Linked DNA regions of Tribolium castaneum. Each later gene encodes a partner of the first gene's protein in a complex. Links are inferred from orthologs where the notes say so. Each region holds a gene or a part of one and is shown in the gene's direction. Other genes may lie near its edges. The genes, in order: Nup153, Nup75, Nup54, Mgtor, Nup107, PCID2 and Nup214.

Region 1 (4,187 bases):
CCTTGAGCAATATATTTCTATTATTTGGGAAAATTTATGAGTAACAATATTAATCTCGGCTTATAATAAGCATGAACACTGATAAATTGACTGATTTTGTGAATTTTTGTGTTGAAAATTTGCGCTCATGTTATATTTTTTTGATAAAACCATTAACATTATTATTAGTTTAAAAAATATTGGTTACGAAAATGGTATACCTAATTTTGGTATGTTTTCATGCTGAAGTAAATTTCTGTCTCCTGTCACATATGACTGACCATGTAAAAACTCGGTCAACGAAGATCCCTAATCCACTTTAAATCATCAGCAACATATATTGTAAAATGCTGAATATTCATGTTATATAAACTAATCTATAGACATTGAAGGAACTTGCTTCATATGGATTTACTAATAATGTCCGGGAAATACAGGGAATGAATTGCCAAGAATGAATGTCTAATATTTTTACAATTATTGCAGACATTATTTTCTGTGTTTAAATACGTACGTATCATTGATTTTTTGGGAAAGTTCATTACATAAAAAGGCAAGGATAATTTGGAATTTCTATTGATGTGATTGTTTAGATAAACAATTTCGTTGTTAATTGTTACTCTACTCACTATAGTGAATACAGTAAATCAAACTCTCAGTAGGAAGTACTGCAGCCACCTTTTATTTTCTGATTTTTTTCTTCAATAAATTTGCCACAAAATTAAAAAATGCATTTTTTATTTCATAGTGAGAAACAACACAAATACGACTATTGAAATGTACCTAAACCTGCCAGCTTGATGAATTTTCGATTTCAAGAAAATTTTACTTGAGATTTAAAAAAAATTGAATTGTTAATTTTAAATATTGCCGACACGTTAATTTTTTTTTGTGTATTAAACAGTATTTAACATTATCTTAATAATAGTATGTTAAAGGAAGAAATATGTTTTTTATCGCGGCAGGTATAAAAATAGCAGTAAAATTTGATAATGAATTTATTAATAAATATTTGTGATAGGCAACCGCACTAAACACTTGTGTTTTGGCAGTTGCCGCCTTGAAAAAATTTCAATATTAAATTTTTTTGAGGTACTATTTATACGTTTGAAAACTGTAAAAGTTATTCACATTAAATCAAATTGCATGTATTTTTTTGATTTTTTAAAAATTTGTAATTTTTTATAAAAGATATTTGGCAAAAAATATGGTTGTATTTTTAAGGGTAATAAACATTTTTATTAAAATTTTAAATATTTGTTGTTATTTTGTTCAAAAACTTCAAGTAAATTAACAAAATTAATTTAATGATTGAATTCAAAATTTTGAAAAATCAGCGGGAGAGCTTTGTTCCTAAAGCGCCAACTTCGTGTTCTTCGAGGGGGAGCGCGCGCAAAAAGCGGCTAACTTCACACTTGGAGTCCGCCATATTGGATCCTCGTGTGGTGAAAGTTGTCATAGAAATGTGTGATTTTCCAAAATTACTTTATTTGTGTAAAATAGACTAAGAACAATTGTAATTATGGCAAATAATAATAATGAAGGTGCCGAAAACAGTCCAGACAACTCGAAAGATGCAGGATTGGATAAGGTTTGATAAAATGCGTTCTTTGCACATATTCGCGCGTTCTCACCTCTAAATATAGCTATAAAAGTTTCTCACGAAATAGTGTCTTTACACTGCCCAAAAGTCGCCCCAGCACCTCCATGCAACCTGGCAGTGCCACCAGCACGCGTTTTTAACCTTAGTTTCTCGCATTTATTTATTTAACCTTGACGTGTAAGGTAGCTAACAGGTCCTATTTTGAATTTGTCTTGCAGTCGTTCGTGGGCAAGTTCGTGTCGGGGCTTTTCAACAGCACCCCCTTGTCCAAGTGGTTCGGCAAAGACTCGGCGTCCAAGTCGGTCAAGAGGCGGGAGGACGACGACGACGACGACGACGACGACTTTGATGCCTCCTACGTTTTCCAGCCACCAAGCAAACGTGTGAAACTACCGTCTGAAGTGGAACACAACAATTACAGTGCACATATATTTGAATCGCCAGTGACTGTGCATAATGCTTCCAATAATGTTAACAATGTTTCGTCGAAAGTGTTTGGGAAGTTTCCTGAACCGGTGGCGGGGCCGTCGGGGGTTAAATCCCGCAAATTGTTCGACAGACACCGTTCTGCTAGCACAAATACGGTCTCTACCAATTCGTTCGAAAATCAAGAAATTGTTAACGGTGAGAATGACTCTGACAGTGAAGAATCAACTAGTGGCTATTCTTCGGCACCCAAATTGCTTAATCAACCCAAAAGTGCAGAAATATCTCACAAGGAAACATGTGAAAAAGTCACTCCTAAAACTAGGTCCTTGTTTACTTCATGTAAGTTTACGTTACATAATGTTTGTTTTTAGTTTTTTTGCAGTGTTTTCTTAACTTTGGCAACCGTTGGGTACATAATTGTCTCAGGAATACTTTATTATACTTTTAGTATTGTGACTCATGCCAGAAAAATGCACAATATGAAATTACAAATTATCAAAACTCATAAATACGATCCGTTTAAAACCATAAGAAACTGATAATACCACAAATGATTAAATTAAAGTTTTTCTCTTATCAGCAACTTTCATGCTTTTGTATACAAAAAGCAGGTCTCCAGTTACCAAAGTAAGAAAAATGTTTACGCTCATTGCTGTTAGCTAAAGTCTGTAAAAGACCTCTTACATTTATATCATTGCCAGTATCTGCAAGACTCTTATGACGAACATAAGTTGTTTGGGTATGAGGTCAAAGTCTAGTAAAAATTGTATTTATGCAATAAAGGTAAAATAAACTATCTGATCTGTTTATAGGCTTCTAATGAGATATTGATAATTGTATGAAATAAGGTTAAAATACGTACCGATATAATAAACTTGTTATGGTTATTAATGGAACTAGTAATTTCCTTGTTTTGTTTTCTTTTATAATATTTGACCTCTAGGTTAAAGTACAGCATCGCTGTACACACAAAAATGTCATCACTTTCATTATACCTACGTGACGAGCAACAAGTAAATTAGTCACTGTTCTCGTATTGTTAATAAATTTTGTTTTACATTTTTACCTTTTTTTTTAAATTCTTGAAATTCCGGCTCGTCATTTTTGAGCTTGTCTTGACTTTTATCTATTTTTACCATTTATTAATTCACTATTATGAGCACTTTGTTGTCCTTTTTATAATTAAATTCAGAAACCTAAAAAACTCTTTCTTCTACCTTCTTGGGTGAATTTCAAAAATTAGCGTTATAAAAAATTATACACTTATTAGAATATCAGGTTCTATAATAAAATTGCTTTAACAAGAAGATTTAAATAGTTTAAATCTGGACAATATGTCACAAATCGCGTCTATTCAGTTTTTCACTGAGTCTGATATTTTTTCACTGGAATTAATGAAAACGTAAAAAATAATCGTTTGTTGCCGACAGTAGGTCGAGTAAAGATTGTTTTAAAAAAATGGGGAAGAGGAAACGTGATTTTTTTATTTTTTGTTATTAAAAAAAATACAGTTTAGCGAAACACCAGTCTTTACATAATTTGCTTTTCATATTGTGTACTCGGAAAAGGGGAAATAAAATCTTAGTCATGTTCTAAGTCTATGATTTAATTCTTGATGAATCATCTTTGCCAAAATTTGAACCGGTCGAGCTTGATAATGGAAATTATAATACAATGAAAAAATCCATGAGTATTATTCCGGCTTCAAATGCAGACTTGGAGTATTTTTGCTTATTTTTGCTATTTTCAGGATTGAAAATATACAATTTTGAGTACTTTTTATAAAAAAATATTCAAGAGTTGGCAAAAGTATGGACATTATACTTCAAATAGTTATTTAAATTGTGCCACACTCCTTATAAATCATGTGTTTTTATGAATATTATCGGTTTTGTGTTTTCTTTAGGCTTATTAATTAAAAAATTGAAACAATCAATTCGTTTTTTAGCAAACGAATCAAGCGGACGTACTTTATTCTCGGAAAGAAGCCCCAACATGAACACTTCTTTGAGTTCAAGACGGCCATCGTTTAACGCATCGACTTTCGGCTCGCCGAACTTTATTGACAGAACATTGTCTACCAAGAGAATATTGAGCTCACCTTTCTATAGCGGCAATACAATTTATGGCGGCGCCTCTGCATACGGACGTAGGTTAGGTAAAATTAGCGAAGAAA
Region 2 (4,300 bases), on another chromosome or scaffold:
TTGATATATTTAAATCGTAGTATTTTTTTGTTAAAATCTAGTCTTAATAAATGTTTTTTGTGACACTTTGTTTTATTTTACGTCAAATTAAAATGGGTAAAAAATTGAGTCGTCCACGAGGTAGCGAACAAAGCACTTATTCCCATATTTTTTATACCGGGAGTATCGAAACTATTCCACCATCAATCACCTATCCTTCGATATGTACTTCCCCCTCGTTTCATTTGTCTGAAAAGCCTTCGGTGTCGAAGTGTGACAGTGAATTGATTCATTACGGCGAACTGCAGAGTATGTACATCAAGTCTCAGACTTTCACAGCTGATCATTTGGCCCCCTTGACCATCAGAACCTCACAGTTAGTGCTGTCGCTTCTGAAGAGGCATTTGGGGCAAATTGTTAGCGACATCCACGCAGGGTACTGTTTTATTTAATTTAATTTTTTTGCCTATTCAAAAAATTCATAACTCAAAAACTAAAATTCGTAGAACAAAACGGTTTATTCCAGTGAATTCAGCGACTCATTTTACGTATCATATGTTTTTTTTACAACACTAGCTTACTCCAGAACGTATTTAAACACTTATTTGAATTTGAAAAATGGTGGATGCGCCGGGTTATTTTCTATTTTTTGGCAGGACATTGAAAATGCCTGATAAAGTGGTAGAAAAGTTTGGGGCTGCAAGTGCCCGGAACCCGAATCAGCAAACAGACACATATACTATCCAAAGACGAATGATCACTCATTTCGTCTCGTTACTTCACGTTCATGAAATGGTTTTAACTTATCTCAAACAGAGACGCATCGAACAAGCGCTCGATTTAATCAAACAAATTGCAGTTAGCCACGCACTTAAGGGAATCACAGTGACTGAATTTCGGGTAAGTCCCGATAATTCTCTAACTTGTTTTGGCAAAATACGACTTGCAGTTAGTGGACTGGTTTATTGTCAATTATTTGATAAAAAATAAAGTAAGCACTGACGAGAACATAAACCACTTGATGCTTTACTTAAGCACCCTTTCAAATTACATTGTGCGATATTTCGAAAGTCAAAGTGTTCGCCATACGATGCTCCGGGACATGACTAGTGTGAAAGTAAACGATCGGAGCAACAAAGCAAGGGAAAACTACCGTTTAATGAAACAGTGGACCTCCAGAATTGAACATTCCAGAGGCCAAATTAAGGATCTAATTGACAAGCTCCTCGCAGATCAAGCCCGCATGCAGGAAGCCAGAGAGGCAGAAATTAGGAGCATTGACACTCAAACGCTCAAAGAAAAAGACTTCATTATGCGATTTTTCGTACGCAAGAAACCGACAGAATCGCGCTCAACGTCACACTCGCACCAGGAGAAGGCCTCAACGTGAGTATCACCCCAATATAACAAATTCAAAATACCCGCCCACAGGATTGACGGCGAAGTTAAATCCCTACCGTTACCGTTCTCGCTACCAACCCAAAACGAAAGTAACCCTAGTAACCGAACAGATTTCTAAATTACCGACCCGGCTAACCGCTCTCCTCAAACAAAATTCGAAAAAAATACGGTTTTTTTGAATGAAAAGGCGCAAAATTTCGTGTTATTTAACGCTTCCCGACCCGTATTAATGGACAATACCGCCAAAACTTTCGTAAGCAGCGATCAATTTTTGAGGTTAGGTCATAATAACTTGTAGGTTATTCCAAATGAGTTATGCCGACGTGCTGGAGTGGCGGCTTCGTGGCTTTCCGTCAACGAATTCGGTGTTTTCGGCCACCAGAAAACACCAAAAGTTGATAAACCGAGTCACTTTGCCCCCTCGGACGCCTCTGTGTTTCAGCTGCGCCCCGACATTATTCTCTTCAAACCAATTTTACGCAAATTGGTAAATGAGGCCAACGGGACGTTTCTAACCCTTCAAGCCCTTGTAGCCACTGAGGGCGACCACAAGGCCGAATTATTGAAACTTAGCCGGCAGTACAGGTCCATAATAAGGGCCTGTTTGGAGAATTTGCAAGACGAGGTGATGCGAGCCGATGGCGATTATCGCGAAGAATTGCAAAATTACATTACGATTTTTTACTCAGTTGAGTGTATTTGGCACTTGTGTGAAATCTTATTTGTTGATGCGGTCCCAGGTGGGTTAGTGACACGGATATCTAAAAGCTAGGATGCGAAACGACGTACAAATAAAACGTCCTGAACTCGGTAGTTTTATCGTTAACTATATTTAAAAAAAATTCCGGACTTTTTTAGGTTCAGAAAATCCGGTAATTTCGTACATCGTTTCCTCCTAAGTTATAGACCTCTGTAGTGACACAAAATTTGGGGATTTTTGCCAAACAGTTGGGGTTTTAGGCAACATTGTTTTGCCCCACTTACTGGACTGGATTCGGTTTCATTTTCCGAAATATGACCGAAATGCGGCAAGTATGTTGGCTGGGGATTTGGGTGGTTTGGAGTCACACCCTGACTATTGGGAAACTGTCATTGGGTCACTATTACAAGGGCGGGTCAAGGTCGTTAGGGCCCTACTTAAATTACACTCAGAAGCTGAGTCACAACCTTTCAGAATTGTGGATCAGTGTCTGAGAGCAATGCCGGTTTATAACGTAAGTAGGCTGGGAGAAATTGACAGGTGTTCATGGCCGACTTTAGATGTTTAGTGGGACTTCAATCGCTGAATTTAATCTACAATGGAATCATTGGGTCGTGGATGTTCAATCGAAAATTGATGCGAAAATGTTTATTTCTTGTTATAATCTCAATTTGATTATGAAGGTTTTGTTTTAAGTGTGTTTGAGTTGGTAGTTTTCTTTATAAGATTTTTTGTAGCTTACGGTTGGTAACGAAATTGCATGGGGGGAAATACAGCAGTATTGCGAGACGTGGTATGAAATGTTAGCCGCGTGGTTATTTTTTACCCAACCTACTGTTAAATCGTTTGAGTTGGGACAGTTTGCCAAACAGTGTATCACGAAAATGTCCATAGGGAATAGAATTAAGCATTTGGATAGGATGTTGTTGGCAGCAATGGAGTTTGATATTTTACAGGTAATATGGCGCCACCTCTGTTAAGTTATTAAATAAAACTGAGACTTTTGAATAATCCTGTATTTTTCGGCTATACTTTTAGTTTTACACTTTTTTGCAAATGTACACATAAATTCTAACATTTCTTTGCCAGGTGATTAAAGAAATCCAAAATATGACAGACAGTGGCTGGTTTGTGAGCCACTTAACCGACCTACTTTACCATTCAGGCCGTCTAAGCGACACAACTATCGAAACTATTGAAAATTTGTGAGTCCCCGATTTTTTTTAAACCGTTTATTTTACAATTATTATTTCAGCCACCCTGATAAATTGCGCGAGTCATTTTTAATCGATTATGGCTCGCTTTTAATGGGCCATAAGTCACTATGGCAGGTCGGTTTAAGCTACTTGGACCACTGTCCCAGCGATGGCCCTGAAGTCACAAAATTACTACTTGCAAGACTGCCTCTAAATTCCGAAATGCGGGCTGAGAAAATTGTGAGAGAGGCTCTGAACCGGAATTTAACCGAAACGGCACAAAGTATTTGTAAAGTGCAAGGAATGGCTTGTAAAAACCGGGGGCGTCTGGGACACGCCCTCGCCTGGGCCCTCAAATCACAAGACGGCACTTTTGTGTCGTTTTTATCGAACAAATTTCTGCGAGAGTATGCCGAAAGTGGCGATTTGAACAGTATTGATCTTTTGGATAATCTCGGATCGTGTATTTTGGCAAGCGATAGGTTGATGTTTTTAGGCAAATATTACGAATTCCAGAAGTTATATCAAGCGAACGAGTACAAAGAAGCCGCCAATTTGCTCGTTTCGTTACTTGAGTCGAAAATAATACCAAACTTGTAAGGGGAAAACACTTAAAATTGCGGTTTTTTATCTAAAGATTATCTTGTAGTTTCTGGAGTATTCTATTAACTGACGCAATACCGCTACTTGAGTGCGAAAAAATGGTTTTTTCCTCAACTGATACCTACATCATTATGCAGTGTTTGGAAGAGCAGGAAAAAACCAAAGACTTGAAAGACAAACTTCCGATCTTGAGACTGTCAGCGACCCGGAATTTAGCACGAGCTTTGGTACACGAAGCCCAATTAAAATGATGATTTTTTTAACAATTTTTTATTAAATAAATACTTTACGTAAACAATAATACTTTTAATTGGCCACTTTAAGTGCACTCGCCAAGTCCTCAAATTCCTCAATTTTCGTATCAGTGATTGTGTCAGGGTCACTGTAAGTCACTCTGGCCGCAAAAAATTTCTCTTTTAAC
Region 3 (4,052 bases), on another chromosome or scaffold:
TTAAATTAATGATACAGTTACAACCAACAAATGAATCACGTAATTCCATAATAAATGAGTGACAGATTCTACATAGAGAGAAATTGACATATTGAGAGGCTCTGAAGCTCACACTTAAAATAACCTTGAAGACCTGTACAAATCATTAACTCCGTTCCGGACACGACGTCTGTGGCATCCTGCCTTTGGCCCCCACGCCGTCCGCCCCCAGGGCCGTGTGCACCACGATGCTGGGCTGGCCGGGGGAGGGGGGGTGCACCTCGTGCGACGCCCCCGGCGTGAGGGTGGCCAAAGCTGCAAGAAGGTCATGATTGATAATGGGCTCACCTTCCGGCCGGGGCTCCCAGTCGAGGGGGGGCGACGCCGGCGGCGAGATTAGGAACTGCTTGAAGGGGGCTGGCGGCTGCAGGCTGGGGTTTTTGACGGGGGTGACGGGTTGAGCAAAGTAACACGTAATCACTGAGTCGTTGATTTTGTATTGGTGGAGCTGAATGCGGGCGCTGGCGGCTGCCACGGGCGTCTGGAAGTTCACTCTCAGTCTTCGGAAACTGCGCAGCCACTGGAATGTCACGTCCGGGTCGAAGTTCCGGAACAGGTTCTCCATTTCGCGCTTTTTCTCTGCAATTTTACGGTCAGATCGGGTGAGGGCTGGGGGCGGATTACCGGGCGAGGTGAAGACACTGTCGTGGATGTTGGTGACGATGAGGGACGTCGGCAGGTCCTCGAACTCGTCGTCGGTCACATGCTCGGGGCTGTCGATGTCGGCCTCCGCCAGCAGGTTGGGGTGCACGTTGGGAAGGCCGTCTTGGTCGTTAATGATGATATCGTCGTCCATTTCGCCGTTGCTTTCAGCCATTGAAAAATTGGATTAAATTCACCGACACAGGATCTACCGCGGTTTAAACCCCATAAAACAATGCGCACTTTTTCGGCTAAACTAATCAAGGCTAACTCTTACGCTACTAAATTTTAACACAAAAACATTGCAATATCAAAGTGCAAAAAACACAACCCAACAATTGCAAATGCCAAATGTCAGGAATGAATGACACTTGACAAGGGGATGAAAGCCGAAAGTTCGCCAGCCCGAATTGAAATACAAAGGAATGAGCTTAAAAAAACGTAAAACCCTGAAATGGATAGATTTCCAGATAATTAACATAAACACATGAGCGACTTTTTGATTTCGTATTTTTTTGTACAGAAAACGCTGAAATTTTGTGAAATTGCCGGTGTATAACCTAGGTTTGAAGTTTGACAGTTCTGTCAATTCGTTAAGTTCAATTTGTGAATACATAAAAAATTGTAATTACTATTTTTATATAAATACTAACGTTAAATTTAATGCAGTTATGGCATTTTCGTTCGGAAATGCAAACCAGTCGACTTTTGGAAGCCCGGCAAATAAACGTAAGTTTTAGAACCGTAAGAAAGTTAGGTTAAGTTCTTTCTATTTTGTTATTTGGTATTCACGGTTTTATTTATTTTCCCTTTAAACCGTAATTAATGAGATTTAATTTTGCCCAAAACGCCTGACTAATGTTTGTGTTCTTAATTTTTAACCAGAAAAAATCGAAAAAGTGGCAGCGTTTTGTACCATTCAGACTCAACAATACAAATCACCACACTTTTTACAGATAAAATGTTAATTGGTGTTTTAAATGGTTATAAAATTTAATTGTGATGATTGTTAACGTGTGAGTAACAATTCAACAATTTTTGTTTGAAACAAATCGCTAAAAAATGTTTTGTTTAGTGTTTAACTTAAATTTTTTGTCACGTCTGTGCTGCACAGTACACAAAAGTAATTTCATTACTTAACTGATAAAACATGAAAAACTGGACGTGTTCAATAAAAAACCTAGATTATAATTTATAAACCAAGAATTTATTTCGGCAATAACATTTTGAGGATATAAATAAACCTACCTAAGCGAGTAACAAAAATATAATGATAGTAAAATATAACAGATTATCACAAATATAATTAATACGATTTCATTCTTCCGTTTGAGATGGTAACTTGGCTCAAATCGGTTGCACAATCAAGCGATCCTGAACGGCTGGCTTTATATCGCTTATAAACGACGATAAGAATGACGATAATTAAGAGCAGACTGACGATTATAACTCCCAAAACAACGTACAAAGTTTTTCCCTCAACGTCGTATCCTTCGTAATATATTTGGTTCGAAACATCCGTAGTTGAAGAAAATACGTCAAGTGGGGTTGAAGTTGTATTTTGTGTACTGTTTTTTATTTCGGCCACTGCTGAAGTGATGTTGTTTTCAAAAATACCGATTGTTTCGGTCGTACTGTCGGTCACTTCGGTTATCACGGTGGTAATCGTTGTTGTAATATTTTGAGAAATCTCAGGAGTGGTAGCAGTTTCTGCAGTAACCGTACTGTTGGTTATTTCGCTGATGAGGGTAGTAGCTGGGGGAGTGAAACTCTGCCCAATTTTGAGTACGTTTTGATCGTCTGTGACTTGAAGGGTCGTTCCAAAACTTTTAGTAGCCCCTTTGATAGGAAATGAGAATAGCTAGAATCGGAATTTTTAAATCCAACTTGAAAAATAAAAATTAAACTCACCGTAGGGCCCGACATTGTGCTTTTTATTAGCGAAGGAAAAACACTTAACTCTGCAAGAACTTATCGGCGACTGAAAGTTTCTTTCCACGCTTTGAATTTTTATCGCTGGTGTTTATATGTGCGAACACGGTTTTCCTGCTTTCCTTCCATTCGCAGTAAAATAACAACCCGGGGATGAGTCACAAAATGCTGTTTAATGCAATTTCTTGTGGTTGGGATAAATAAAATCCGTCATTTTGTGATAACAAATTGGGAAAGCGGCACTGCAGTCGAAAAAAACTTGTTTTGAAATTATCTACGTGTTTAAATTCTTTTTAAAAAATTTGACTGGAATGACACTTGAAGGATTGAAATAATTTCATTTATTTCGTGTTTATTTCGTTTTTGCATAAATTTAAGTCTTAACAACAGCGTATTTTTTGCACGATAAGTATTCGCATAGTTCAAGTTTGACTTGCATTTTTTACCGAGGAGTAGTTTCCGTTTGGTCATTTCCCCGTAACAAATACTTTTTTCATGGAAATTCTTTTCTTTTCGTTGAAACAACCCAAATAGAAAAATAAATAATTTCAGGATTGTGGTTTCGTAGCCATTTCCTTTGGAAAACTACAAATTTCGCTGAATTTATTCAATTTATTCGATTTTTCCTGAATTAAAACGCACACTTCTTATCGTCTTAGATTATTTATTAATTTTTGTAAACACCTAGTCATAGTTTTATGTTTTTCCAATGTTTATCCACAGCCACCGCATTCGGTACCCCATTTGGGGTAACCACCACCACGGCTAGTACCGGCTTCGGCAGTTTCGGCTCTTCCTTCGGAGCCACTTCGCAGCCGTCGACCGGTTTCGGCTCAACTTTCGGAGCCCCAGCTCAATCTTCAGGTTTCGGTAGTACTTTCGGTACTCCTGCAACTTCCACTCCAGCATTTGGTTCGACTTTCGGAGCCCCAGCATCAACCTCAGCCCCGACATTCGGTACCGGCTTCGGTCAATCGACCGGCGGCGGCCTTTTCGGTACTTCCACAACCAAACCAACCCTTTTCGGAACTCCCACCACTTCAACCTCGTTATTTTCGACCCCTAGTTCGGCCCCCAGTTTATTCGGGAGCGGTACCACCACACAAGCCCCAAGTCTTTTCGGGGGGGTCACCACCTCGACTCCTAGTTTATTCGGAGCTGGCAGTACCCCAGCTCCGAGTTTGTTCGGTACTGCGACAACTTCGGCCCCGAGTTTATTCGGGACTTCGTTCGGGGGCACGGCCACCACTTCGGGGGGGCTGTTTGGGGGGAGTACAACAGGGGGAGGGTTTGGTTTATTCGGGGGTACTACTACGACGAGTGCGCCGTCGTTGTTTGGGGGGTTTGGGGCTACGCAAACAACAGGGGGGTTTGGGGGTTTTGGGACTAGTGGAGGGTTCGGTCAACAGACACAAGGGAGTTTGTTTGGGGGCGGGTTT
Region 4 (3,500 bases), about 23 Mb from region 1:
GTTTTGAAGTGTTTTATTAGTTTCTGGTAATTTAGAAAATGGAAATCGGTAAATAATATTATTGTTTTTTCTTCGTTACTTTTGCTGTGCGGTCCGTTATTGCAAACAAATAAATGTTTTTATTTCTTATGTTGTTAAACAAGGTCTAGAAATTTTAGTTTCCACTGTGTAGTTTTAATATTCTTAAAGTCTTTAATAATTAAAACCTGTCTGAATAAATTTTTTAGAGTTGTTTTTACACAAATTCCACCTTATACTTTAAAAATAATTGTTGGCAGTATTATTATTAGCATGATTTTATAACGATTGTTCAACAATAAAAATGTGAATCTTTTTTTGTCCTGTCCGTTATCAAGTTGTACTTTTTTCTGCTCGTATTTCAAATTTTACAAATGTGGTTCTAATTGTAAATATAAACAGTTTGACTGTTACTTTGTAAATTCCTAGAGGGAAAAGAAAAATTCATTTCTACTGATACTGTTCATAGAAACTGAAAATAAAATCTAAAAATTTTGTTTTTTGATTGTTCATTTGTAATTTTATCTTGTCCTGAAGAAAAAACTTCAAAAATCTAAAAATTTGTGCAGTGTCCGTTAAAATGAAATGGCTGAAAAAAATTAAAGACTATTAAAATGTTTCATAATTTGGCAAGATAATTATTATTTCGAAGATCAATAACTTCATTATTTCAGAAATTTTACCATTTTCTGTCTGTTTATCTCATCTTTATCACCCAATCCATTCTCCTTTTGCATCGGTCCCTATCTTTGGGAATAATATTGTAAAAAAATTCTGTTACAACAATTACTATCAAAGTATTCTCAATTTTTAAGCAACCGTAAGAACGAGAAATATTTTTATACCGAAGGTGTATTGAATTTTATTTTGTTAAAAATTTTTTTTGAAGCAACCTAAGTAATTTTTTCAATATACAAATCCAGAATGAGCGTAAACGCTACTTAAGCGGCACCCAAGGTACGGTTCAGTTTAAACTATCGTAAGCTTTAGACAATTTTAAGCTGCACTTATTTACGGTGCGGTTAATTTGCCACCCTTAAGCCATACCGGTGCAGTTAGGCCTTGGTGGTTGGCTGTTTTATTTCCCGTTTTTTTATTATTATTTTTATTTGCTTCAAGGGGGCCCCGGTGGTGTAACCTTATCCCAAGCCTCGACGTCAGTCTCCATGACAATGCCTTCCTTCTCGCGAACTAGACCTATAGCCCCTCTCCTATCCAGACAGCAACAGTCGCATCTGTTGTTGTCCCACGGGCTGGAAGAGGGCGGCGATGATGGTATTGTTCCATCAACGCCTACTTTATTTGTGCCGAGAAGATCTGACGGTTTTGGTGAGGCCGTTAGTTCTCCTCATGTGCCCACGAGTGGGAGGTTTACTTTTAACGAGTCTGTTCCTCCAAACACTGCCGGTTCTAGTGAGATCGTTCCTGAACAGACATTAGAAGTCACAAATATGGATGAGAATAGTATGGATTGGGGCACTTGTTGATGCTTTCTTTTTAACAGGGTGTTTCTTTTGTTTTAGGTACGGGCAGAAGTGTTCCTAGTACGCCTCTGCAAGCTTCACCTCAAGAAGCAGTACCTGGGAGTGAGGAACAAGGATCCAGTCAAACAACACAGTCAGATGGTATGTAACTGTAAGGCATAAGTTACATTTCCTGAGTTTTTATTTAAGAAAAGTTGGTATAAGGTGATGTTCTTAGAATAAATATACTATATTTAACCGCTTTGTACAACGGTAAACTAAAACGAATTTTATGATAAAATTATTTGAAAATTTTAAATGTCATAAACATGAATTTCTCGTATTTTTTTTTTAAATTTTATTTCAGTTCAAGTGAATTGAAAATTAGTTAGTTTTCATTGTAATCGTCTTTTGTTTATATTAAAAATAAGTTTTCTCTAAAATATTTCCAATTTCTTTTTTATGTTTATTTCAATAAAACGCACAAAAAATGGTTCACATTTGTATAAAATCTAAAATTGAAAATATTCAGCTTCGTGGTTTAGCTTTTTTTTGCAAAATTCTACCCGATAGTAGTTTTTAACTTCGAAATCAGAATGCTTGAGAAGATAACGGTGAATATTCTCATCTTACGCAATATATTTTTTCCATCCACCATTATTTCGCTTGAATAATTACTGAGTTATTTTAATTGACAATTGGAAACGTAAAAAAAATCAACAATTCAACCATATTTCTGTAGACGATAAAATTTCGTTTCAGCATGAAGTAATCAGTAGATAAAATGCCATTTTACCGTTTACGATGAAAAAAAGGGATATTTATGGTTTTCTTTGGAAGAAACCATATAAATAGGTTAAAACTGTGGCTGGCTCATGACTGGCTTTTGAAAATGTATACTGAATGTTATCTTCCTCGAAACATGAAAGCTTCTTTGTGTAGGAGGTAAAGTTAAGATTAAGAAAGTGAAGAATCTGATTTATGTTTTAAGAAATTACTGGTTGTTCGGATTATTGAAGTCTTACTGTATGAAATTTGACCAGAAATATTCTTTGTGTCTTTCTTGACGATGGTATAGTTTGGTCTACATGTTAAAATTTATTAAAAAAAATTAACGTTTTTTTATTACAGTTGATTGTAAAAAAAATTTTGTTAATCGTCATGGTGGTTTGTTATGCATATTTTTTTAGTAACTAAATTGTTTGTGCATTATACACTTGTTAATCAATCTTTATTATACAATGTGCATTTCCGATTTTATTTGAGAAATTTATAACCGACTAGATGAAAATCATTCTAACACACACTGTACTTTCAATAAAAAATACGATTTATTTGTCGTAAATTTTGTTTCTTTACGTGATTTTTATTCTCATTAACAGTTTTTTAAGTTTTCGAATCACGTAAAAATCAGATAACGTAACAATTTTAATATTGACCTTAATTTTGGTGAGTGTACAGTTAGATAATAATAAAAAAAATCAAGAAACAAGATTCATATTTAACTTTTTGTTTTAAAAAAATATTTCTAAAATAGTTTTTTTTATTAGCAGACCAAAAAGTAAGTTTCACATTTAAAGTTATCTCAGCAGATCAAGATAATATATTTTTGGGACCCTTGCACAAGATGACATCTCCGGTGTTTTTATTACAATTAATAACACAAAAGTAATAATCTTTGTCAAAGTAAAAATCTTTAAATTAGTGATAATATTAAAAGGCATTATCCATAGACTTTTCGAAATAGAATTCTCTAAATAACCTAAAACCTACCAGTTATTTGAAAATTTTTACGCAAAACAAAAATTGATTGATTCTTCTTTCTGTTCAAAATTTTGTCTTGAACTTCACACAAACACCTCACATAATGTAATGACCGTTTAGTAAGTATCACTATTAAAATCCACATGTACTTGTGTTTGGACAAAGTGTTCTTGAGACGATTTGACATTAAAAAAGCGAAATAACTTGACACAAAGAGCAAAGCAACTATAAAATATGTAGTGTTTTATGCAACGA
Region 5 (4,258 bases), on another chromosome or scaffold:
GAAAACCATCAAACATAAAACACGGAGAAATGAATCGATGAACCATTCGCCAAGTGCCACCAGTATGGATAAAAAGAGCGGAAATGCGAATCCCGCTTTCACTCAAGACGTACAAATGGAAGTGTACAGAACCAAATTATGATTTTTCTTTCTTCCTAGAGATGGATGTGAGAAATGGACACGGACTCGTGTTTTTAGTGCCTTTTATTTGGCAACATCTGTGATCTCTAGCTGATAAGATACAAGTGTTCGATTGTTGAATTATGCAAAGACTACTTAACTATTTTTATACCTTATTACATTGTTATTATTGAATAAGATTGTACAACTTGATACGCGTACGTGTTGAAATATTTATTTTCTTTTGTAAGCTTAGACTAGTGCTAACAACGAGTATTTATTACAACATTTTAGTACAATAATATTTAATTAATAATAAGCGTAGTGTTTGTTCAAAGAGTTTAAGCTACCAACGAAAATATAATATAAATAAAAAAAATTTTGTGGATTTTTGCCTCCTTTAAATGCCTACAACCGAAGTTATTGACAAAAAAAAACGCTCCAAGTACTGAAAAGTCGCCCAATATTTCCAGAATCTTAAGTCAATGAATTTCCGAAAATACAAATACATACCACTAATGTGCAGTAATCTAATTTTTGTTGAAAAGCGTACAATTTACCTCACTTTGTGCTTAAAATGTACTTTTCCTAACCACAAATGAATTGACAAATATTTGGAAAGTGATGTTTTTTACAAGTTTTCAAGAAAACTTGCTTTTTCACCAATTTCCAAAAATAATGCCCACAATAATGTGCAATAATCTAATATTTTGTTGAAAAACATGCAAGTTACCTTACTTTGTGCTTGAAACTTCCAAATTAACACTGAACTTCTAAACTAACACTTAACACTTCATTCTTCCAAATCCTGATTGTCACAGTAACTGAATTTAGGAATATCCGGGGAAAAACTGGTGTTTTTTTTCCACAATTTATAAAAAAAACGTAATTAAGGTAACTTTTTCACAAATTTTTCATAAATGTAGACAAAAAAGATCCGGGCACACACGAGAGACGCGATAATGGAAAAAGTGTTGCCAACCAAATTCACTGAATTTCCGAAAATAGTACCAATAATGTGCTATAATGTTAAATTTTGTTAAAAAAACATGCACCTTACCTTACTTTGTCACTGGAATCACCAAATTATGTAAAAATTACACTTAACACTAAGTAACATCATTTTTCCAAATTCAGTATTCACACATGATTTACAAATTTTTGAAAAAAACCGGTGTTTCCTACCACAATTTATAAATTGAACTTAATTAAGTTACGTAATTCAACACTTTTTTCACCAATTTTCCTTCAATTTGAACAAAAAACACGATAAACACAAACAGACGCGATAATTTGAAACAAATGACGATCGAGGAAAAGAAAAACTGTTACCAACCTGAATCTAGGGACTTTGCAACGCTCTGAGGCAACGCTAGACTTGTTTTTTGAGGTTATGCAACGGCTTTTTGTGTGTGTTTTTTATTAAAAATGGATAATGATTTGGAACGGTCGGTGCGTCTTCTCGAAGACGCTCTCCAGACCCCCACAAAAGGGCTATTTAAGGTCTCGACCGCAACTCCAAAGCGTGAAAAACCTAACCTCAGCTTTACAATAAACCCCGAAGACTTAACCGGCCTGGAATATGGAAGTGTTTATCAAAACACCTTGTCTTTATTTGTCGATGATGACAAAACGGTCACCGGGTCGGTGATCCAAGCAGGAACTCCATGGAAAAACACTGTTAATAATTTATATACAGAGTTTGCGGATATCCTGCAGGGGTCCACCGGAGGCCTTGATATCCTGGACGTGGCCGAAGACTTGGCGAGGTGTTGTAGTGACGCTTTGGCGGTGGTTAAGTCACTGAAAGCCAAAGTGGCCACTAGTGAATTAGCCGAAGAGAAATGGCTCGAAAATGAGCGGAATAATTGGAGACTGCTGTATGTCCTGTACCAGGATCGGATCCAGGCCCAGAACCACAGTAAGGAAGGGTTTGAGGAGGATTTCGGGAGCAGTGAAAAGAACTGTGTGTGCGAACTGTTCAAACGAGAGAATTTGGTTAGGGAAAGCCAGTTGGTGATCGATTGGCTCGAGAGGAACGCTCTGGAGAAGGGGGACCCCATTTTAATGCACTCAGACTGGACGTATGGATGGGAACACACTTTGCATCAATTGCTAGCACCTGATGCTATTGCAATTGGGAGTAATGTGGATATTATCAAGAACATACATCCAGATGCGCCACAGTTTCAGCGCTTATCGCTGCACCACTTGGATTACGACAATGACAAAAAACTATGTCAGAGAATTTTTATGGAAATTAGGTGCGGCAACCTTGAGGGCGCCCAGGAAGTTTGTGCTGTTTTCAGCCTTTTATTATTTATTCAATAATTAAATTTCAGTTATGTTACAACAGTGGTTATCCATGGCGCGCTGCGATGTTAGAAGGCTGGAAGCTTTTTCATAATCCCAACCTGGAAACAAGTCTTGAAGAGTATAAAGACGTAGAAGGGAACCAAAGGCGGGATTTGTGGAAATCTTGCGCATTAGATTATTGTCATAGGGTAAGTTTTTCGTTCCACAGCCTCTTTGACAGTTCGGGAACTTCGCTATCTTTTTTTTTGATACCATTGTTACTAGATAAACCGATGTCACTTTGGCAGTTGTAAAACATGTATTTATTTTATGTTTATTTATTTAAAATTTCTGGAAAATAATTAACCAAATTTAGGACTGAAGACGAAGTTTCGTATCTATCAAGGAGGCTGTTTTATAAATTTGAAAAAACTACTAAAAAATTTCAGTCAAACTTGAACATTTATGAAAAAGCCGCCATTGGTAGTCTTTGTGGTTTCTTGGAGGGCATTTTGCCCGTTTGTACCACATGGGAGGACCACCTGTGGGCCTACATGCGAACCATGGTCGATATTCGTGTTGAATCGGAAATTCGCGACTCAATCATTAAAAACTACATACCACTACCTGAAGAATATTGGGAACAAAAGAAATCATTAAGTGAAATTTTTACAATTTTGGAAGCCTCGAAAAATATTGACATTGCAAAAGAAGCGCATGAAATTGATCATGTAATTCAGAAACTTGTCATTTTAGACGAAATTCCCACACTGATACGCCTCCTAGATCAGTGGAGTGAAGATCTAAGTGTTACGACACAATCTCTTCGATTTTATGCTCACTTAGTTTTGTTTTTTGAAAGCGTCGGAGACTCCACTCATAGAAAAACGTGTGAAAAAATCGTCGAAACGTAAGTTTTCTTGGTTGTATAACTCGACTTAAGGCCGGGCGCTTTAGTCTCCCGGTATGGTGACTATAAAAAAATTTGTGTCTAGTGTATTTTATGTTCTTAATGTTGACCATAATCTCGTCAGAACTAAATTATTGCTTTTAATATTTTTACCACTTTTTTATAGCTACGGTATTATTTTTTGTTTTATTTGACTTCGAGCTTCTATAAAAAAACATAAAGTGTTTGCTACTCACCGCTGCGTTGCTTGTGTTTTAATATCATTTGTTTAATTAGATATATCGAGCGTTTGAGCGAAATGAACGAAACCCAGCTTGTGGCCTTCTACGTGAGCAAGCTGGGAAAATCCAAACAAATCCAACTTTACGCCAAACACTGCGAAAAACTGCTTTCGACTGAGCAACGCAAAAACGCCCTTACTTACGCTGAAGATTTCAGTTTGGACGTATTTGCTATAACGCAACAAATCGTCGAAATTATAACAAGCCGACCGTCTGAATCCGAACTTCCCGGTAATCTCCAAGGTAAAATCACCGAAATCGACGAACTCAAAATCTCCGCTATTGATTGGCTGATGTTTTACGAGGAGCAACGAGCCGAAGCATTGGCTCAAACCAATTCTATTATTTTCAAATTTCTGATTTTGGGCAAATTAGAAGCAGCCCAATTGGCAATCAATAAAATTCCTTACGATTCTATAGAGAAGATACGCAGCGAAGAGCAGATTCATCAGATTGTTAAGAATTATTTGAGTTATAAAGCGTATTTGGATGCACATGAGGCGTTTAACGAGTGGTTTAGACAGTATAGGAATAAGCCGATGCCACCACCTGAACTGCCCGAAAATGCACAATTTACTGAAAAAGTTGCTCATAATCATAAAGTCTCGCAGTTTAATGCCGAAGCGGAACGGTGGAAATTGACGACATCGCA
Region 6 (3,203 bases), on another chromosome or scaffold:
ATGTGAACACAAATTTGCTTTATATTAATTTTTGAATTTTTTTACATAAACGTCTTTTTTACAGTGAAGGCTATTCCAAATCAAAAAAAAAACTTTCGGATTTAAATTCAGCTAAAAAAATTACATCAGAATCATATTTCAGTAAACGTGTCAATTCTGTTAAATAGTTCTTTATTTTTGATTCTTTTTTAAGTTGTTAATAATTACGTTGCATTTCTCAAACTATCATAATCATTAATCACACAGACATTCAAGATATAGAATATTGCTTTTTTATATTGTTTTATTTTAAAATTATAAAATGTAGATATAGAAAAAATAACTTTTTATGGTACATAATAAGGCATACTAAAAGTATTTAAAGCAAATTTGGAATTCTGTGTAATTATTTAGCTTGTCATGCAGTAAAAATATACTTTTGCTGGGACACCCTGTAAAATTTGTTTTTAAATTTTATAGATGAACATAAAAACCTTTTATATGCTTTTGTACGGTCATCATTTAAAACATAACTTGTTTGTAATTTAAACGTCGTCTACCTACTTATACTTATAAGTTTTTTTTTGTAAAATATGGTTTTGTTTTTTAAGTAGCACTATACAAACAAATACTTTTAAGTTCGTAATGTGTAGCTTTAGTTTCTAATAAACAGTACTTAATTTTTTTGTTTCATAAGGAGCTAAAAGTAAACTACAATTAACGTTTAAATTGCTTATTATACTGATTTATGGGTCTGGCACGTGAAGCATTATTAAAGTTTAAAATAGCAAAGAAGTAAATAATTTCTTTCCATAAATTCCATTACTAGGCGCTTTAAATTCATTATTGTTGAAGTTATTACTTTCCTGTGTAATGGATTTTTAAATTATGATTTATCCTTGACTAGAATAATAAAACGTTTTCACGACTGTGTTTATAATTTCCTAAAAATTTTTTAATAAAATCAAGTTGGATAAGTTCCCGGTCAAGTTGCATCAAGCTGTTCCTCGGAGCGCCATCTCTGTGTGGGAAGAAAACATGCGGCTTGCGAACTGGTCTACGAACAGTTTTCGTTTTTATGGCATTTTACTTCCAGGATTTGCATTAATTTAATCCCTATTATTAGTACTATGGGACATATAACACGAATTAAGCTCAAATATCTTAAATTTTGTTAGGTCACAGAAATTATTATTGATTTTACTTGTATGAATCGCACCGCTCCCTATCGGCCATTTTATCACCATTGCAAAGACTTGTTTATTTTCAAGCTTATTCAAACATTTTTTCGTCAAACTCGTAAGACATAATGTTCTTTGCGTAACGGAAGCAACAAATATAACACTTGTGCCTAAATCACGTGAGTAACAGTTCAATTTCATTTATAAATGAAGCGGTTTCGGTTAACTGACGCCCCTAACCTTAGTTTTTCAGCAAAATGACTTTTATGTCCGTTGCTCATTACCTACAACTTGTGGAAAGGTATTGGCGGTCTCAGGACGGTGCAAAAGTGGCCAGTTTTCTGTCTCTTCGCCACGAACATGCAGGTTATGCCAATTACCACATTGAGAGTCCTGAGGGAATAGTTGAGCGTTTTTTGACCGCCCCTATCGACGAATTAGTGATTTTGCACCTAAAATGCCTGTTTGCCATAAGCCAGAGTGACTATCTATCGGCTTATAACATTCAGAGCAATTTGACGCAAACTTTCACTAAGATCTTGCAATCGCAAAAGGAGGAGAATTGGTCTTTGCCTATTATGTATGTCTTGTGCTTAGACTTGCGTCTTTTGGCGCAATTAGCCGAGAATCAGAGGAGCGGAATTAATGAGAAGCCCGGCGAAATGCTCGAGAAGGCAGCAGAATGCTTGATGGGTTGTTTCAGGGTGTGTGCTGCTGATAATAGGTCAGCAGAGGAGGATACAAAGAGGATAGGGATGTTGGCTTTGGTGAATCAATTGTTTAAGGTTTATTTTCGGATAAATAAGCTACATTTGTGCAAGCCCTTAATCAGAGCGATTGAGTCATCACCGTTTAAAGAGAGTTTTTCTCTGAGCCAACAAATCACATATCGGTATTTTGTGGGGCGCAAGGCTATGTTTGATAGCGATTATAAAGTCGCCGATGAGTATTTAACTTATGCTTTTGAAAATTGTCACAAGCTCAGTAAGAAGAACAAAACGCTTATATTGATTTACTTAGTTCCTGTGAAAATGTTGTTGGGGTATATCCCAAGCAAGGAGGTTCTGGAGAAGTATGACGTCATCCAGTTGTGGGATTTAGTACAAGCTGTATGTCAGGGTAATCTCAAAGCGTTTGACGAGATTATGGAAAAGCACGAAACCTTTTTCATCAAGTGTGGAATATATCTGATTGTTGATAAACTGAAAATCATAGCATATAGAAATTTGTTTAAAAAGGTGTATTTGATTCTAAATACGCATCAAATCCCTATTGAAGCACTGCAGACTGCTTTAGTGTATTTAGGACAGACTGATGTTGATTTGGATGAAACAGAATGTATTGTTGCTAATCTTATTTATGAAGGGAAAATTAAAGGATACATTTCGCATCAACATAGGAAGGTTGTTGTTAGTAAACAGAATCCATTTCCGCCACTTACAAGTCTATCATAATTAAGTTTTTATAAGTTTGTATAATTCGTCGTTCTCTACCTGCATTGTAACTATTTTGTAATTGCATATGAAATAAACTGTTAAAACTACCCGTTTTTTGTGTTTTATTAAAGCATAAACGTAACGTCTATAAATCTCTATACTGCGAAGTGACTAAGCGACCCTGCTGTCATAAGAAAAAAGCTAAATGTTGTATGCATAATAAAAACCGCATTAAAAATGTTTATGGAATTTTTATTTTATTAAAAATTGCTTTTGTTATTCGAAGAGGTCACAACTACAGTTGTTTTTTTTTAAATTGCTCAGATTTAATCTCGATACGAATCGTTTTGAAAATCAATAATGCATATTAAATCACCTAATGATTATGCCCATATAGGTAAAAAATATTCGTTTAAGCTTTACATAATAGATACGAAGTTAATACCGAATACATCCTTTAAATGTACTGTAAATATTATATTACATATTGCGAAATTTTGCACAAAAGGATTTATTTTCCCATAGGTAACTTTGTTACCCGAAAATTAAACTCATACATTTTATATGGAAATTTTATCATAGTCAAAAACTATTTAGTTTTTTATTA
Region 7 (3,620 bases), on another chromosome or scaffold:
TTTTCTCCAAAAAAGAGAATATCCACATATTTCATTCGTGAAGCCTCAATTGGCCAGTTCCGTAATCCAAACTCCGCCAAAACAACTTAGTCGGCTTCCCGAAAAAACTTCAGTTGCACCTCGGGTTCTCGATTTTGCGCAGTCAACTCCCAAACCCACTGTGCTCAAATTCGACTCCACGGCAACTCCAATCGAAGGTTTACAAAATTTAGCCCTTAAATTCGAGGCTAAAAATTTCACAAATTTGCCCGAGAAAACTTTCACGCCTTTGACTAAAAACGTGATTGCTGGGTCTCCAAATTCGGCTTTTGTCTCAACTTCGGTTTCTGCATCAGCAAATACTTACAAACCCACCTTCATGGCTGCAACTACAGCCGTGACAGCGTCTATTATTAAAACAAGTCCCAGTTTTGTGGCAGTGACTAGTACTGCAACCATGCAAGCACCTAAATCGTTTGTTAATTTGTCTTCCCAACCAGTTACTAGCAGTACCCCAAAGGTGGGGACAAACCTCTTTGCCACATCTTTGCCTAAAACTACATTTTCGTTCAGTTTACAAACTACTAGTGCGGCGCCCATTTTAACAAGTAGTGCAGCGACTACCAAACCCAGTACGTCTATTTCTGTTTTTAATCTATCCACGAGTGTTAGTACTACCGCGGAAAGTACGATTTTTACGAAAACTTCTACTCCGTCATTTGGTATTGCTACCACCACAGCACCAACCTCCACCCAGTTTTCGTTCGGTGGCGCTACTAATACTTCAAGTATTTTCGGTGCAGCAACACAAAAAGTGACCGAAGCTGCGACATCGAAAACCTTTACGTTTTCTACAAAGCCAGTAGTTACTTCTGCAACAAGTACTCCAAATGTGGTGGTTTCTGCCGTTTCCCCCGTTGCTAGCAGTACCCAACGTTCAATTTTCCCTACGACTTCTGTAACAACCAGTCCTAAAACAACGCAAGCTGTCTCGAGTCCAGTCTCAATCCAACCCACTTTTGGTGTAACAGCTCCAAATTCAGTTAGTACTACCAGTGGCACTCCATCAACTCAGTCCTCACCGTTTTCATTGGGGGCACTTAAATCATCTATTTTTCCCTCACCGGCTGTTCCTGCCGTAACTACAACACCGAAAATCGCCACCAGTGCGGCCACTGTTGTTACTACAGCTGTTACAACTACCGGTGTTACAGCTCCTGTTGTTACAACAGTCCCATCTTCAACTAGTATTTTCTCAACGCCAGCAACAACTCCATCAATTTTCGCTTCGCCAGCAACAACTTCAACAATTTTCTCTTCGCCAGCAACAACGTCATCAATTTTCTCTTCGCCAGCAACAACTTCATCAATTTTCTCTTCGCCAGCGACAACTTCATCAATTTTCGGCTCTATTGTTAGTAGTACTACTCAGTCTCCAACCATATCTTCAGCTCCGCCCACAACTGGGTTTTTCGGTGGTGCTCTTTCAACTAAACCACTCTTTGGTGGTACCGAAGTTAGCGCCTCGAAACCGTCAATATTTAGCAGCACAACTGCATCAAGTGTTTTTGGGGCTGTTGCAACCACGGATTCAAACGTTTCGAAACCATCCATCTTCGGAGCCCTGCCATCATCCTCCACTACAGCTTCTGTCTTTGGTACTGTTGCAAGTACCGATAGTAATGTATCAAAGCCGTCAATTTTTGGCAATGTTTCGTCAAGTACTTCACCAGCGACTGTTTTTGGCGCTACCACACCTACCACTCAGATTTTTGGTGGTGCTACCCCTTTGTCTACTAGTTCATTTGGGGCTGCAGCTACGACACAATCGTCAATTTTCGGCTCTCCCACTACCCCAGTTTTTGGAACTCCTGTTGGTACCACTCAGTCGACTTTTGCCAGTCCTACAACGACAACTCAATCTCAAGGGTTCGGTCTTTTTGGAGACGCCGCCCAAAAGCCTTCCCTATTTAATGCAAAACCAAATGCGACTCAACCGTCAATATTCGGAAGCACACAGCCGTCGATATTTGGTGGTACCACAACTTCTTCAACGTTCGGCCAAAGCCAGCCCTTCGATGGGAGCAAAAATACAAGCGCTTTTGGTCAAGGTTCTGTTTTTGGTTCGTCAGGTAGTACGAACGTTTTCGGGGGTTCAGCACCCGCTTTTGGCCAAACGGGTGGTTCCGTCTTTGGAAATGCACCAACTACGAGCTCTGGGAGCATTTTTGGGGCAACGACTACAAGCGGAGGTACTTTCGGTACTAGTGGATCTTTATTCGGAGCACCTGCGTCCACTGCCCCCTCACTTTTTGGGGCACCTGCATCTACGACTCCCTCTATTTTCGGTTCGTCGAATGTCTTCGCCCCTGCCACTACTCAGTCCGGTACTTTCGGCACCAATACCAGTTCCGGAACGTTCGGTTTCGGAAGTCTCAATGTTTCAACGACTGCAAGTTCGGGTTTCGGTGCACCTGCGAACCCCTTCGGGGGCGATAAGAGCGTTTTCGGAGCCTCTCCAGTGTCGTCAAGTGGCTCAGTTTTCGGTTCCAGTGGTGGATCGCTCTTCAGTAACACGTCCCAGAGTTTTGGTACCGGTTTCGGGAACCAATCTTCCTTCGGCCAACAGTCGTCCTTCTTCGGGGGTAGCAGTTTCGGTCAGCAACCTGCGGGGCCCTTCAGTGGTGGGAGTGGAACTGTGGGACAAACCGGGTTTGGGGCAGGTCAGAGCTTCCAAAAACCGGGATTTGGGGCAGCTCCCGTTTTCGGGGGATCGCCCAGTTTCGGGAGTTCGCCTAGTTTTGGAGGAGCGCCGGCGTTTGGCAGCCCACCGGCTTTTGGGAATACTTCAAAGGTGTTTGGGTCCTCAAGCCCCGGGTTTGGGGCAGCTGCTAGTACCCAGAACACAGCTTTTGGTAATTTAGCCAATCAACCAACAGTAGGGTTTGGGAATTTGGCACAGCAAGCTGCCAACGCCCCAGCGCAGAGTGCGCCGTTCTCTGGGTAAGAATTTTTAAACTGATAAATGGCATAGTACATTTTTTTTTGTAGGAGCTCCTCATTCTCCAGTTGGCGTTAATGAAGGAAAATGTTTTACGTTAAATTTTGTAAGCTGAAACTAATAAATTTTTTTAAAATTAATTTTATTTTTCACTTAAAACACATAATTATTTCTGAAAATGTGTACACTATTGTCGCACCCTCCAGAGACCAGATACTTGTTATTGGACCAATCTACAGCTAGGACTTGCCCTTGGTGTCCCTCTAAATTATAAAGTGGGGCTTTAGGGCTTCTGGAATCCCACAATTTGACACCAGAATCGTATCCTCCCGACATAAAAAGGTGTTCATCGTATTTTGACCATTCAATTGAACTGACCCATAGCGTATGTGAGGTGAAAGTAGTCTTGACCACTGAACCCTCTGAAGACCTTGGGTCGTACAACCGAATATGTCTATCAGCTGAACATGCTAATAATGTGTTAGATAGGGAAGACCAAGAAGAATCCAAAAATGCCTTCTGGCCAACTATTTCATTCTTGATACCACACAACTCAGCATCCCAAAATTTAATCGTATGGTCCATTGACACAGTGCAAATTACATGGTTGTCAATCCAGGAAGTCGAAGTTATGGTTTCT

Evidence for each region.
Region 2: Nup153 (region 1) and Nup75 share a complex: the UniProt entries of both Drosophila melanogaster proteins name them as parts of the nuclear pore complex. The link is inferred for Tribolium castaneum from reciprocal best matches to the Drosophila melanogaster genes Nup153 and Nup75.
Region 3: Nup153 (region 1) and Nup54 share a complex: the UniProt entries of both Drosophila melanogaster proteins name them as parts of the nuclear pore complex. The link is inferred for Tribolium castaneum from reciprocal best matches to the Drosophila melanogaster genes Nup153 and Nup54.
Region 4: Nup153 (region 1) and Mgtor share a complex: the UniProt entries of both Drosophila melanogaster proteins name them as parts of the nuclear pore complex. The link is inferred for Tribolium castaneum from reciprocal best matches to the Drosophila melanogaster genes Nup153 and Mgtor.
Region 5: Nup153 (region 1) and Nup107 share a complex: the UniProt entries of both Drosophila melanogaster proteins name them as parts of the nuclear pore complex. The link is inferred for Tribolium castaneum from reciprocal best matches to the Drosophila melanogaster genes Nup153 and Nup107.
Region 6: Nup153 (region 1) and PCID2 share a complex: the UniProt entries of both Drosophila melanogaster proteins name them as parts of the nuclear pore complex. The link is inferred for Tribolium castaneum from reciprocal best matches to the Drosophila melanogaster genes Nup153 and PCID2.
Region 7: Nup153 (region 1) and Nup214 share a complex: the UniProt entries of both Drosophila melanogaster proteins name them as parts of the nuclear pore complex. The link is inferred for Tribolium castaneum from reciprocal best matches to the Drosophila melanogaster genes Nup153 and Nup214.

The regions. Positions count from the first base shown.
Region 1 is NC_087394.1:31,197,843-31,202,029, reverse strand, and holds the start of Nup153 (nuclear pore complex protein Nup153), read left to right. Parts: upstream 1-1,387; 5' UTR 1,388-1,501; coding exon 1,502-1,570; intron 1,571-1,800; coding exon 1,801-2,350; intron 2,351-3,959; coding exon 3,960-4,187. UniProt on the Drosophila melanogaster protein: Component of the nuclear pore complex (NPC), a complex required for the trafficking across the nuclear envelope. Functions as a scaffolding element in the nuclear phase of the NPC.
Region 2 is NC_087399.1:876,580-880,879, forward strand, and holds Nup75 (nuclear pore complex protein Nup85), read left to right. Parts: upstream 1-1,500; 5' UTR 1,501-1,609; coding exon 1,610-1,633; exon of another isoform or gene 1,634-1,678; coding exon 1,679-2,120; exon of another isoform or gene 2,121-2,340; coding exon 2,341-2,594; exon of another isoform or gene 2,595-2,640; coding exon 2,641-2,763; exon of another isoform or gene 2,764-2,817; coding exon 2,818-3,036; exon of another isoform or gene 3,037-3,169; coding exon 3,170-3,285; exon of another isoform or gene 3,286-3,335; coding exon 3,336-3,872; exon of another isoform or gene 3,873-3,925; coding exon 3,926-4,130; 3' UTR 4,131-4,180; downstream 4,181-4,300. Other genes in the region: mRpS23 (small ribosomal subunit protein mS23), read left to right, coding at 1-20; uncharacterized protein LOC660898, read left to right, coding at 51-415, 636-879, 929-1,365, 1,411-1,498; oxidized purine nucleoside triphosphate hydrolase, read right to left, coding at 4,186-4,300. UniProt on the Drosophila melanogaster protein: Component of the nuclear pore complex (NPC) that seems to be required for NPC assembly and maintenance. Required for nuclear import of phosphorylated Mad via importin msk.
Region 3 is NC_087397.1:2,066,925-2,070,976, reverse strand, and holds the start of Nup54 (probable nucleoporin Nup54), read left to right. Parts: upstream 1-1,252; 5' UTR 1,253-1,352; coding exon 1,353-1,410; intron 1,411-1,866; exon of another isoform or gene 1,867-2,542; intron 2,543-2,592; exon of another isoform or gene 2,593-3,336; coding exon 3,337-4,052. Other genes in the region: sra (protein sarah), read right to left, coding at 146-618, 664-856. UniProt on the Drosophila melanogaster protein: Component of the nuclear pore complex (NPC), a complex required for the trafficking across the nuclear envelope. Essential for the nuclear import of nuclear localization signal (NLS)-containing proteins in an importin alpha/importin beta-dependent manner.
Region 4 is NC_087394.1:8,236,026-8,239,525, forward strand, and holds part of Mgtor (nucleoprotein TPR), read left to right. Parts: intron 1-1,137; coding exon 1,138-1,482; intron 1,483-1,541; coding exon 1,542-1,643; intron 1,644-3,500. UniProt on the Drosophila melanogaster protein: Component of the nuclear pore complex (NPC), a complex required for the trafficking across the nuclear envelope. Functions as a scaffolding element in the nuclear phase of the NPC.
Region 5 is NC_087395.1:26,509,844-26,514,101, forward strand, and holds the start of Nup107 (nuclear pore complex protein Nup107), read left to right. Parts: upstream 1-1,458; 5' UTR 1,459-1,548; coding exon 1,549-2,412; intron 2,413-2,462; coding exon 2,463-2,624; intron 2,625-2,864; coding exon 2,865-3,325; intron 3,326-3,601; coding exon 3,602-4,258. Other genes in the region: sodium-coupled monocarboxylate transporter 1, read left to right, coding at 1-142. UniProt on the Drosophila melanogaster protein: Plays a role in nuclear pore complex (NPC) assembly and maintenance. Required for nuclear import of Mad. Mediates the association between the nuclear pore complex and a subset of active chromatin regions adjacent to lamin-associated domains.
Region 6 is NC_087397.1:8,459,988-8,463,190, reverse strand, and holds PCID2 (PCI domain-containing protein 2), read left to right. Parts: upstream 1-1,184; 5' UTR 1,185-1,339; intron 1,340-1,405; 5' UTR 1,406-1,417; coding exon 1,418-2,614; 3' UTR 2,615-2,703; downstream 2,704-3,203. UniProt on the Drosophila melanogaster protein: Required for the export of nuclear mRNAs and involved in mRNA trafficking in the cytoplasm.
Region 7 is NC_087398.1:6,201,336-6,204,955, reverse strand, and holds the end of Nup214 (nuclear pore complex protein Nup214), read left to right. Parts: coding exon 1-2,982; intron 2,983-3,030; coding exon 3,031-3,058; 3' UTR 3,059-3,120; downstream 3,121-3,620. Other genes in the region: ribosome biogenesis protein WDR12 homolog, read right to left, coding at 3,134-3,620. UniProt on the Drosophila melanogaster protein: Part of the nuclear pore complex. Serves as a docking site in the receptor-mediated import of substrates across the nuclear pore complex including emb, RanGAP and phosphorylated Mad. Protects mbo/Nup88 from proteasomal degradation at the nuclear pore.